Nothobranchius furzeri: one gene and its partner. Each later gene encodes a partner of the first gene's protein in a complex. Links are inferred from orthologs where the notes say so. Each region holds a gene or a part of one and is shown in the gene's direction. Other genes may lie near its edges.

The links.
Region 2: the proteins of bckdha (region 1) and bckdhb are in contact, whole or in part, in a crystal structure (PDB 1V16), measured with the Homo sapiens proteins. The link is inferred for Nothobranchius furzeri from reciprocal best matches to the Homo sapiens genes BCKDHA and BCKDHB. Residues at the interface, in NP_000700.1 of Homo sapiens: Phe155, Leu185, Gly186, Lys187, Arg189, Gln190, Gly196, Cys197, Lys198, Phe202, Val203, Thr204, Ser206, Pro208, Thr211, Pro214, Gln215, Val217, Gly218, Ala219, Tyr221, Ala222, Arg225, Gly244, Asp245, Ala248, Asn251, Phe252, Thr255, Leu256; in NP_000047.1 of Homo sapiens: Pro89, Thr90, Val92, Asp117, Arg118, Phe120, Asn121, Thr122, Pro123, Cys125, Gln127, Gly128, Ile129, Gly131, Phe132, Ile134, Gly135, Ile136, Val138, Thr139, Asp158, Gln159, Asn162, Glu163, Ala165, Tyr167, Arg168, Tyr169, Arg170, Ser171.

Annotation. Positions count from the first base shown.
Region 1 is NC_091753.1:46,809,846-46,814,313, reverse strand, and holds the start of bckdha (2-oxoisovalerate dehydrogenase subunit alpha, mitochondrial), read left to right. Parts: upstream 1-1,581; 5' UTR 1,582-1,758; coding exon 1,759-1,872; intron 1,873-4,468. UniProt on the Homo sapiens protein: Together with BCKDHB forms the heterotetrameric E1 subunit of the mitochondrial branched-chain alpha-ketoacid dehydrogenase (BCKD) complex.
Region 2 is NC_091745.1:53,415,208-53,419,025, reverse strand, and holds part of bckdhb (2-oxoisovalerate dehydrogenase subunit beta, mitochondrial), read left to right. Parts: intron 1-3,192; coding exon 3,193-3,348; intron 3,349-3,818. UniProt on the Homo sapiens protein: Together with BCKDHA forms the heterotetrameric E1 subunit of the mitochondrial branched-chain alpha-ketoacid dehydrogenase (BCKD) complex.

The DNA of each region.
Region 1 (4,468 bases):
TAAAAATATATCAGAACTTAAAGAAGATAATGCAATCCTCTTCAGACAAATAACAAACTGTTTGACATCAAAGAAATTTCTCTTTGGTCCTGATGCTCATACATTAGTAAAGATTATAAATATAAACAGAGATTTCAGTTTTTCTGGTAGTGTTTGATCAAAGAGCAATGTGACAAGAACAATAAGTTACTTAGAAGTTAAATACGTACATAAAAATAACCTGCAGTTGAGCCTCTTGACTTTTCTGTTTGCTAAATCAAGCCAAATGACTCTTCTATTAGCTGATGGATCCATTTTTAAATGTAAACAAGTCAAAATAGTTTGTTCACTTAATGTTATTAAATTTATAACTTATTCACTGATGAAAAAGTGGCATTTATTTATATTTCTGTCAAACTGGTGCAGAAATAAAGATCAGTCCCTTCTCCAGACACAACTACTGTACACGGCAGATAGCATGTAGGTCTAGTTATAGAAATGTACGTTTATAACTCATATTTCAGATTCAAATGAGTTTTATCTTGACTTTTTATCTGTAATCTGACCTGCTTAAGGGGTTGTTGTTTATTTTTTTATTTTTTTTCCCAGCAGGTGTATTTTATATAAATGATAAAACCAGTTTACCTTGAGGAATGTTAAAGTCTCCCAGTAAAGCACAGGAAACACTTCAGATAAATCTGAAAGTCTAAACATGTCAGATGTTGGGCTGGTTTGTTTGTGGGTAGTTTTATTACATGCTAGAGCTGCTCTCTGGAAGACTAAAGTCAGCAAACACAGAGATCGCAGAGAAAAGGTCCTACTCACTCGAGATGGAACTGAAGTCTGAAAGAGCATTTTAAATGATGCACCTGAGCTGTAACTATGGTAACGCAAGATTCCATAGCATTACCATAGTGACAGTCAATCATAGGTGACAGACAGCACTCCATAGAGCCTAAGCCACGCCCATCTACTTCCGGACCACGGGTCCCCAGAAAAACAAAAAAATGAATGCAAGTCAATGGTGCTAAAGACGCTATTTTCTAATTCTGCTTGTTATGTGCCATGGATTTCACATATGATGTCCATAAAGATGCATTTTAATACCAAGAACGTGCTTATTTTCGAAAGGGGGGGAGAGATTTTAAGTTTTGTGTAATAAGTCCAGGACTACAAATGCGCTTTATGAAAGTGACATCATCGAAGCAGACACGGAGAAAAACAGGGAAAATGGCAGAGATTCTGTGGTGACGTCATGTGTGCAACGTGCCGATGTCGGATTTGCTCATATATTAGTAAAGATTATAAATATAAGCAGAGATTTCAGTTTTTCTGGTAGTGTTTGATCAAAGAGCAATGTGACAAGAACAATAAGTTACTTAGAAGTTAAATACGTTCATAAAAATAACCTGCAAATGTCCGGAAATAAAGTGATTTTTTTATTAAAGTCAATATCAAGTTTCTATAAATAACAAAAGGGTCCAAGTAGAAGAGAAAAAAAAATTAAAGTGCAAGGAGCTAATGTGGACCACGGACACAGGACCCTAGAGGTTACTGGAATTAGTATCAACGTAAAACCAGTTTATGACCTGCAGGGGGCAGCAGCGTATCTGTTCTACCTCTGACCTACTGGTTCAAAGAAGAAGAGTGACAGGATGGACACAAACTGAAGGGTTTCAAGAGTTAAGTTTATTGTACCGTTAAGGTCTGGCATACCTGTACAGTTAGTTTACAAACACGCAATCTCACTGAATTAAACCAAGCGACTGGACTATCCGAATGGCGGCTGTGAGCGCAATGCGCAGAATCAATGGGATCTGCTTTCATGCTGTGCGTGAAACGAGAGGAATAAACGCACCAAGGCTGCTTCAGTGTAGATCCATCAGAATCAGCGTGAGTTGAAATGATTTGAACGTCTTCGTACGGAGATCCACATAGTTTCGGATGTTAACTTGGAAATCCTAGAGGTTATTTAAGGTGGTCTGAATGTGGCCTGGTAGGCTGCAGGAGACAATAAAAATAAGTATGTCTACACCAACTGGTGCAGATTATATGGAAGTAAATCTAACGTTTAGCAAAGTTCATGAGGTAAAAATTAGAATGAAACATTTTGAACACGCTTGACCTGTTAAATTATCGCGATACCTGAGTGTTAGCAGGTTATGCTAACAGATTCGGAAGCATACAATTTTCTTTTTTGTCTCTCTAAACTATTGCAGACAATCACAGTTACATGTTCACGGATGGATACCACATTGTTGTGTTAACGTTATGCGTTTTTTGTTTTGTGTCTGACGATCTTTGCCAGCTGGCTAAAGTTTAGGTTAGCTTGTTTCCAATTGGTCGAGTGAAGGGGCGTAAGGGATAAACCAGTCGGGCCACAAGTTTGTTTAATACACCTCCTACAGGTCATAATCATACAACAGCATCATGAGATGAATACAGCTCATAGTGCTGTCGAAAATTGCACCACTAAAGTAAACAAAGACGGCTTAGTTATAAAAGGTTTATAATTTTGAAATGCACTTTTACACTTTAGGATTGCTTGGCGGTACAGTTTGTAACATTGATGTCTAGGAGGTCACAAATTCCATGACCTGCATGTTTGCAACACCCCCACCCCCGTGCATGCGTGAGCTTCCTCGTAGACTAAAAACACGCATGTCAGGTTGAAAACTGTCCCTAGGCGTTTGAACGGTTCTGTGTGTCCCTGCACTAGAGACCTTTATCAGTTGTATTCAAATGCAGTGCAGTAATTGTCCAGCAGCATGCTCACACATACTTGTTTAAAGATGTGGAACACTGAGAAAAAATACTTAAAACTTATTTCTGATTATAATCAGTCACTCTTGAGTTTTTCATGCAGGCTGAACATGAAAACAATCTCCTACACCTATCTCCTGCATTAGCTTTTGCTAGAAAATACACAGTGAAAATCTAGGATTAGAAAATCCTGACAGATCTACATCACACTGTCACTGAACGTTCCTGAACCCACCTATCTTGACTCACGACAGGGAAGGCTGTAGATGGTTTAGCGCCCAGGAAACCGCAGAGAACGACTTGGCAAGTAGAAGCTAACGTTAGCATTAGAAACTCCCCCACACAGCAGAACTCCTTTAGGCTAAAGCTTGGTTTATGCTTGACGCGTCCGCGAGGTCCGCGCTGTGAAATTGCGTCATTTTAACAACCACGGCCCAAAATTTCCGCAACGCGCACCTATGAAAAAATTCTAACCATGCGGACGGTCGGACGTGGAAAAACATGGCGGACTGGCAAGAACTAGTATGGCAGAGGTTCGTAAATACAGACATTTGTATGATTCAGCTCTCAGAGATCACCTTGATCAACGTGTTGTTAATAAATCTTGGAGAGAAATAGCTTGCACTGTCGGAAAAGACGAGGACGCTGTTAAAAATGCTGGAATGCCATGTTGTAAACAACAGTAATTTCTACTATGGTTTAGTGTTGGATGCATGCCGTAGAGCTTCATGCTGCCCCGTTCAGTTTGGGAGAATATTGGCTCACCGCAGAGACAAGCCGCGTGAACCATAAACGCTGCGAGTTGTGAAGCGCGTTCCATCCGCGAGCCGCATCACCAAGCGGAAAGTGAATGCGTCAAGCATAAACCAAGCTTTAAGGTATTTGTGGAGATAAAACATCCACATTGCAAGTCAGTGGTAGAGTCATGTTGCTGTTATCCAACCCGAGGCAGGATGTTCCAATACAAGGAAAAAAGATTCCAAATCCTGCGCTCTGAAGCTCAGCTGGGATGTGGCTCACTTCTAGTTCCTGAAAATGGCACACCGCTGTTTTTCCCCCCAGAATATGACATACAAGGTATTCATTCCTACTAGAGACCACTACAGATGTATTGATTAAACAAGTGTTCAATACCTTTAAATCTGGATGGTGACTTTTCTTGCACTTGACAAAATTTGTGAAGGACACGTCTAAGCAGGAAGCACAACCGCTACAGAATATAACCTCTAAACTGTAAGTTAAAATAACATTATTATGATTGTACGATTGTATGTCTGTGTTCTTTATGCTGTTATTTCTGGTCATTCGGTATATTAAATGGGACAGCAGTAGCAAGACACCCACCTTGCCTGCTGGTAGTGGTCAGAGGGACTGGTGGTATCAGTGTTTGGCAGGATTCGCCTCTGTCAGCGCTCGCCAGGGCAGCTGTTGCTACGTTGTAGCTCCTCATCACCAACGTGTGAATGGATGAATAACTGATTGTCTTGTAAAGTGCCTTGGGGGTTGTAGAACCCTAAGAAGGCGCTATACAAATACAGGCTATTTACCATCTTCCTAGAAACTCAAATTTTCTATTATTATCCATTCTTTTATTTGATAAAGGTTACAATAGTAGCCTACTGCCTTTGTGTATTTACCTGTATTATTTAAGTGTATGTGCTGCCTTAACGAGTGAATTTTCCCTCTGTGGGATCCTTAAAGTCTATTCTGTTCTAACTTAACCACA
Region 2 (3,818 bases), on another chromosome or scaffold:
GTGGCACGGGTCTGACGCGATAGATGTCAAGCATTAGAAACTGTAAATGCAAAGAACCCTGAGCTCAAAATGCTTGTTAAAAACTTTTATTTCAATAGCTTTGGTATTTGAAGAGAACAGACGATTATTGCTTTTTATGAAGGTAGATCCACTGTTCACTGCTGTTGTCTCTCTCACACACTGAAACTTATCGTTTCTCCTGCTGTTGCATCACAAAAACTTCATAGGGAGTCACACCCACCTACTTCCAGACCATGGGTCCCCAACTGTCGAGAAAAAAAAAGAATGGAATCTGTGAGCAGATAAGTTATTTTATACACCAGCACAATGGATATCAAATGAAATGAACAAGATGTGCTTTAACTGCAGACTGTCAGCTTTTATTTGAGGGTATTTACATCCAAATCAGTTTCCCTCAGCGCTTTATAAGCCTGGCGGCCCGAGAGGCTTTGCTTGCCCACCCGCCAGGCTAAGCTTCATGCCCTGCCCCCCTCCCCGACCCTACTGTGTCTGCTGACACGTATGGCGCAGCAAATCTAGAGCCCTCCATCAGTTGATACTGGTGAGAAACAGCAGCGGAACATGTGCAACCACCCCACCCCCAATGTCACAGAGGAGCGCTGCGGGATGGATTATATTTTAATCTTAATTTTACCTTTTTCCTGTGTTTCCTCCGTGGGTGCCCTCTGCCCCGGGGGCGGTGGTCGGCTGTGGCGGCCTGCTTTCCAGGTGTGCCTAGGTGGAGGTGGGGGTCTTCGCCCTCGCTGCCCTGGGCGCCCTGTGTCGGTGCCTCGGCTGCTGCTGTGAATCTGCTGCTGTCGGGGCGGATGACTCCCCTGATGGCGTTTCCTTGTCCATATCTTAGCTGGTCTGGCTCGTCTGATCTCAGTCCATTGTGTTTTTTTCCTTGGGGAGGGGCATGCATGTGTGTGTGTGCATGTGTGTGTGTGTGTGTGTGTGTGCGTGTCTGCGTGCGTGTGTGCCAGAGGATGAGTGTTGTGAGGGGGATTTTATTGTCAGACTGTTTTTAGTGGCTAGGTTCTTGACAGGTACTAGATGCCGAGATCACATTACTCCAGTGCTGGCTGCCGGTGCAATATCGAGCTAAATTTAAGATCCTAACTCTTGTTTATGAGGCCCTCCAGGGCAGTGCCCCCTCTTGCATTACTGCACTTTTGCACAAGTATGTTCCATCTCGGTCTCTTCGCTCAGCCGAGCAGGTCCCCGAGGTGGTCCCACGGTCCAAATATCGATCTAGGGGTTATCGTTAGGGCTGTAGCGAAGCCTCGACGACGTCGACGGCTCAATTCTAAAAATTTGTCGACGTCAGATCCGGAAGTCGACGCACCGCGCCCACTTGTTGCATCCCCAGGAGTTTGTAAATAGAGGAGGAATCTGCCTGTTTTTCCTCTAGTTCGCCCTCTTCTCCGCCTTCAATAACATCTCCGCCAAATACCGAAGACCCGGAACAATGTCCGTCCACTACTAGATCATTTTCCTGTGTTGCCCGCCTTCGTCTCCCGGCAACGGACAACAACTTCCGGGGTCAGATGCGCTGCTTCGTCTCTACCGCAGATGTAGGACATCACCGGGAGCGTTTCTCCCTTCATTAAGGAGCTTCTTTCAGACATTAGGAGAGCTGTTTTGGTGGTATCAGTCTCTCCTCCGTGCTGGTCTGTTTGCTGCTGGGTGGTTTTGGTTTATTTAAATTTGGTAACTTGAACTTAATGTTGGTAAAGCTACTGTTGGCATCTTCGCTAACAGCTTCTTGCGTTTGGATAAGCTGTTACGTTTTGGTTTAGAGTTCATCTTTTTTGTGGTGCAGATCTCCCTTTTATTACATTTAGAGTGTTGTGGGTTTTCGGTTTAGTGTAAAATATCACCTTAAGTTTGGTTTAACCACCCAGTTTAGAGTTTGGACTTTTGGAGATCCTTATTTTGGTCCAGAACTCAGTAATCGTTGCCCAGTGGGACATCCCTAGTTATTTGTACTTTGTTTTAATTCTCCACAGGCAGAATTAGTTTTATTATTCCCAACCTGTGGATGGAAAGATTTATGAGTTTTTGTAGTTGTAAATAAACCTGATCATCATTTTAACTTTTAAATCCCGTTATTGTCCCTTCCTTTTTGCACACGAGCCAAACTCCCCAGGAAGGGTCGTAACACCACTCGCCTCACGCACATAAGTGACCAAAACAAAGCAGCATGGCGACACTCCATCTTCTACCACCTCTCAGGCAGCAGCCTGCACTCCCAAGTTCTACATGTCACCAGAACATAACCAACCGCAACACAATAAAAGCAGTGTTACACAAAATGGAAGGCCTGTAGTGTTTATTCTCTTACAGTAAGAATTTATCAATTTTTTGAGGAATTTATTTGAGATTTTCTGGTTTTTGTTAATTGTGCAATAGAAAAATAATCATTAGATTAATTTTCTAAATAGTCATTAGAATAGTCGACTATTCGATAAAATAATCGTCAGAATAATCGTTTTAAAAATAATCGTTTACCCCCAGCCCTAGTTATCGTGTATTTTCTGTTTTGGCTCCAACTCTGTGGAATGAATTGCCATTGACCATTAGGCAGGCACTGTCCCTTCAAGTCTTTAAGTCTCGTTTAAAGACTCATTTCTATTTGATTGCTTTTCAGCGATAGGTTTCATTGAATTGCCCTGTCATTATGGTTTTTAATACTTCTTCTTTTTGATCAAGATGCTTGATCTTATTTTGTCCACCATTTGTTTTTAATTGATTAGTCTCATTCCGTTACCTCTCTGTATTTGTAATATTGCTTGCTTGTTATTTTTTGATTTAATGTTTTTATCTTGCTCTTATGCCCAGGTACTGAGAATGTTTTTATGATGCTGTTCAGCACTTTGGGCTTCTGATAACATTGTGGAAGGTGCTCTACAAATAAAATTGATTGATTGATTGATTGATTAAAATTCAGGGGATGGGAGTGAATGTCGGTATGCGGGCCCTTTTTAATTTTTTAAGCACTTTGAGTTGCATGCATTGTATGATTAAGTGCTATATAAATAAAGATTTGAGTTTGAGAAAATAAAAAAAGTGTTTTGATGATAAAATCTGTTATTTCACAAGCAAGCAGGACAACATATCACATATTTACAAACAGCTGTCAAATAACATATAAAAGTATGATTCCAATTAGCTTTTGTCTCTTTCCAGATTGTGAATGAAGCAGCCAAGTACCGCTACCGTTCTGGGAACTTGTTTGACTGTGGGAATCTCACCATTCGGGCTCCGTGGGGTTGCGTTGGCCATGGGTCCCTTTACCACTCACAGAGTCCCGAAGCCTTCTTTGTCCACTGCCCTGGTATCAAGGTAAACCTCTTTACACATTTGAATTCAATGAGAATTAATTATTGGGGATGGACAATATATCAGCATCAATATTGTTATCGGCCGATGTTAGTCATTTTTTAACATATCGGTATCGGTTCGAAAAAAAAAAAAAACGGGCCGATATTATCAACCATTTTTTTTTCCATCTGGTCACCATTTGTTTGCTTGCTTCAGAGGGTGAGGGGAGTTTATGTGTAATTGTTTAGTCATGTCACAGTGATTGTAATAATCTCAGAAGTGTAAATGTATGTGGTGTGTGTACATAATAACGTAAATTCAGCTTTAATAATTTTTATTCTATACAAAATCTGCAGATTTTAGAAGCATTAATGTCAGTACATCGATATCGGCAAATATCGGTTATCGGCCATCACAGTGATCTTAATATCTATATCGGCCCAAAAATTTCATATCGGTGCATCACTACTGCTCATGTCTGGTCTGTGGCT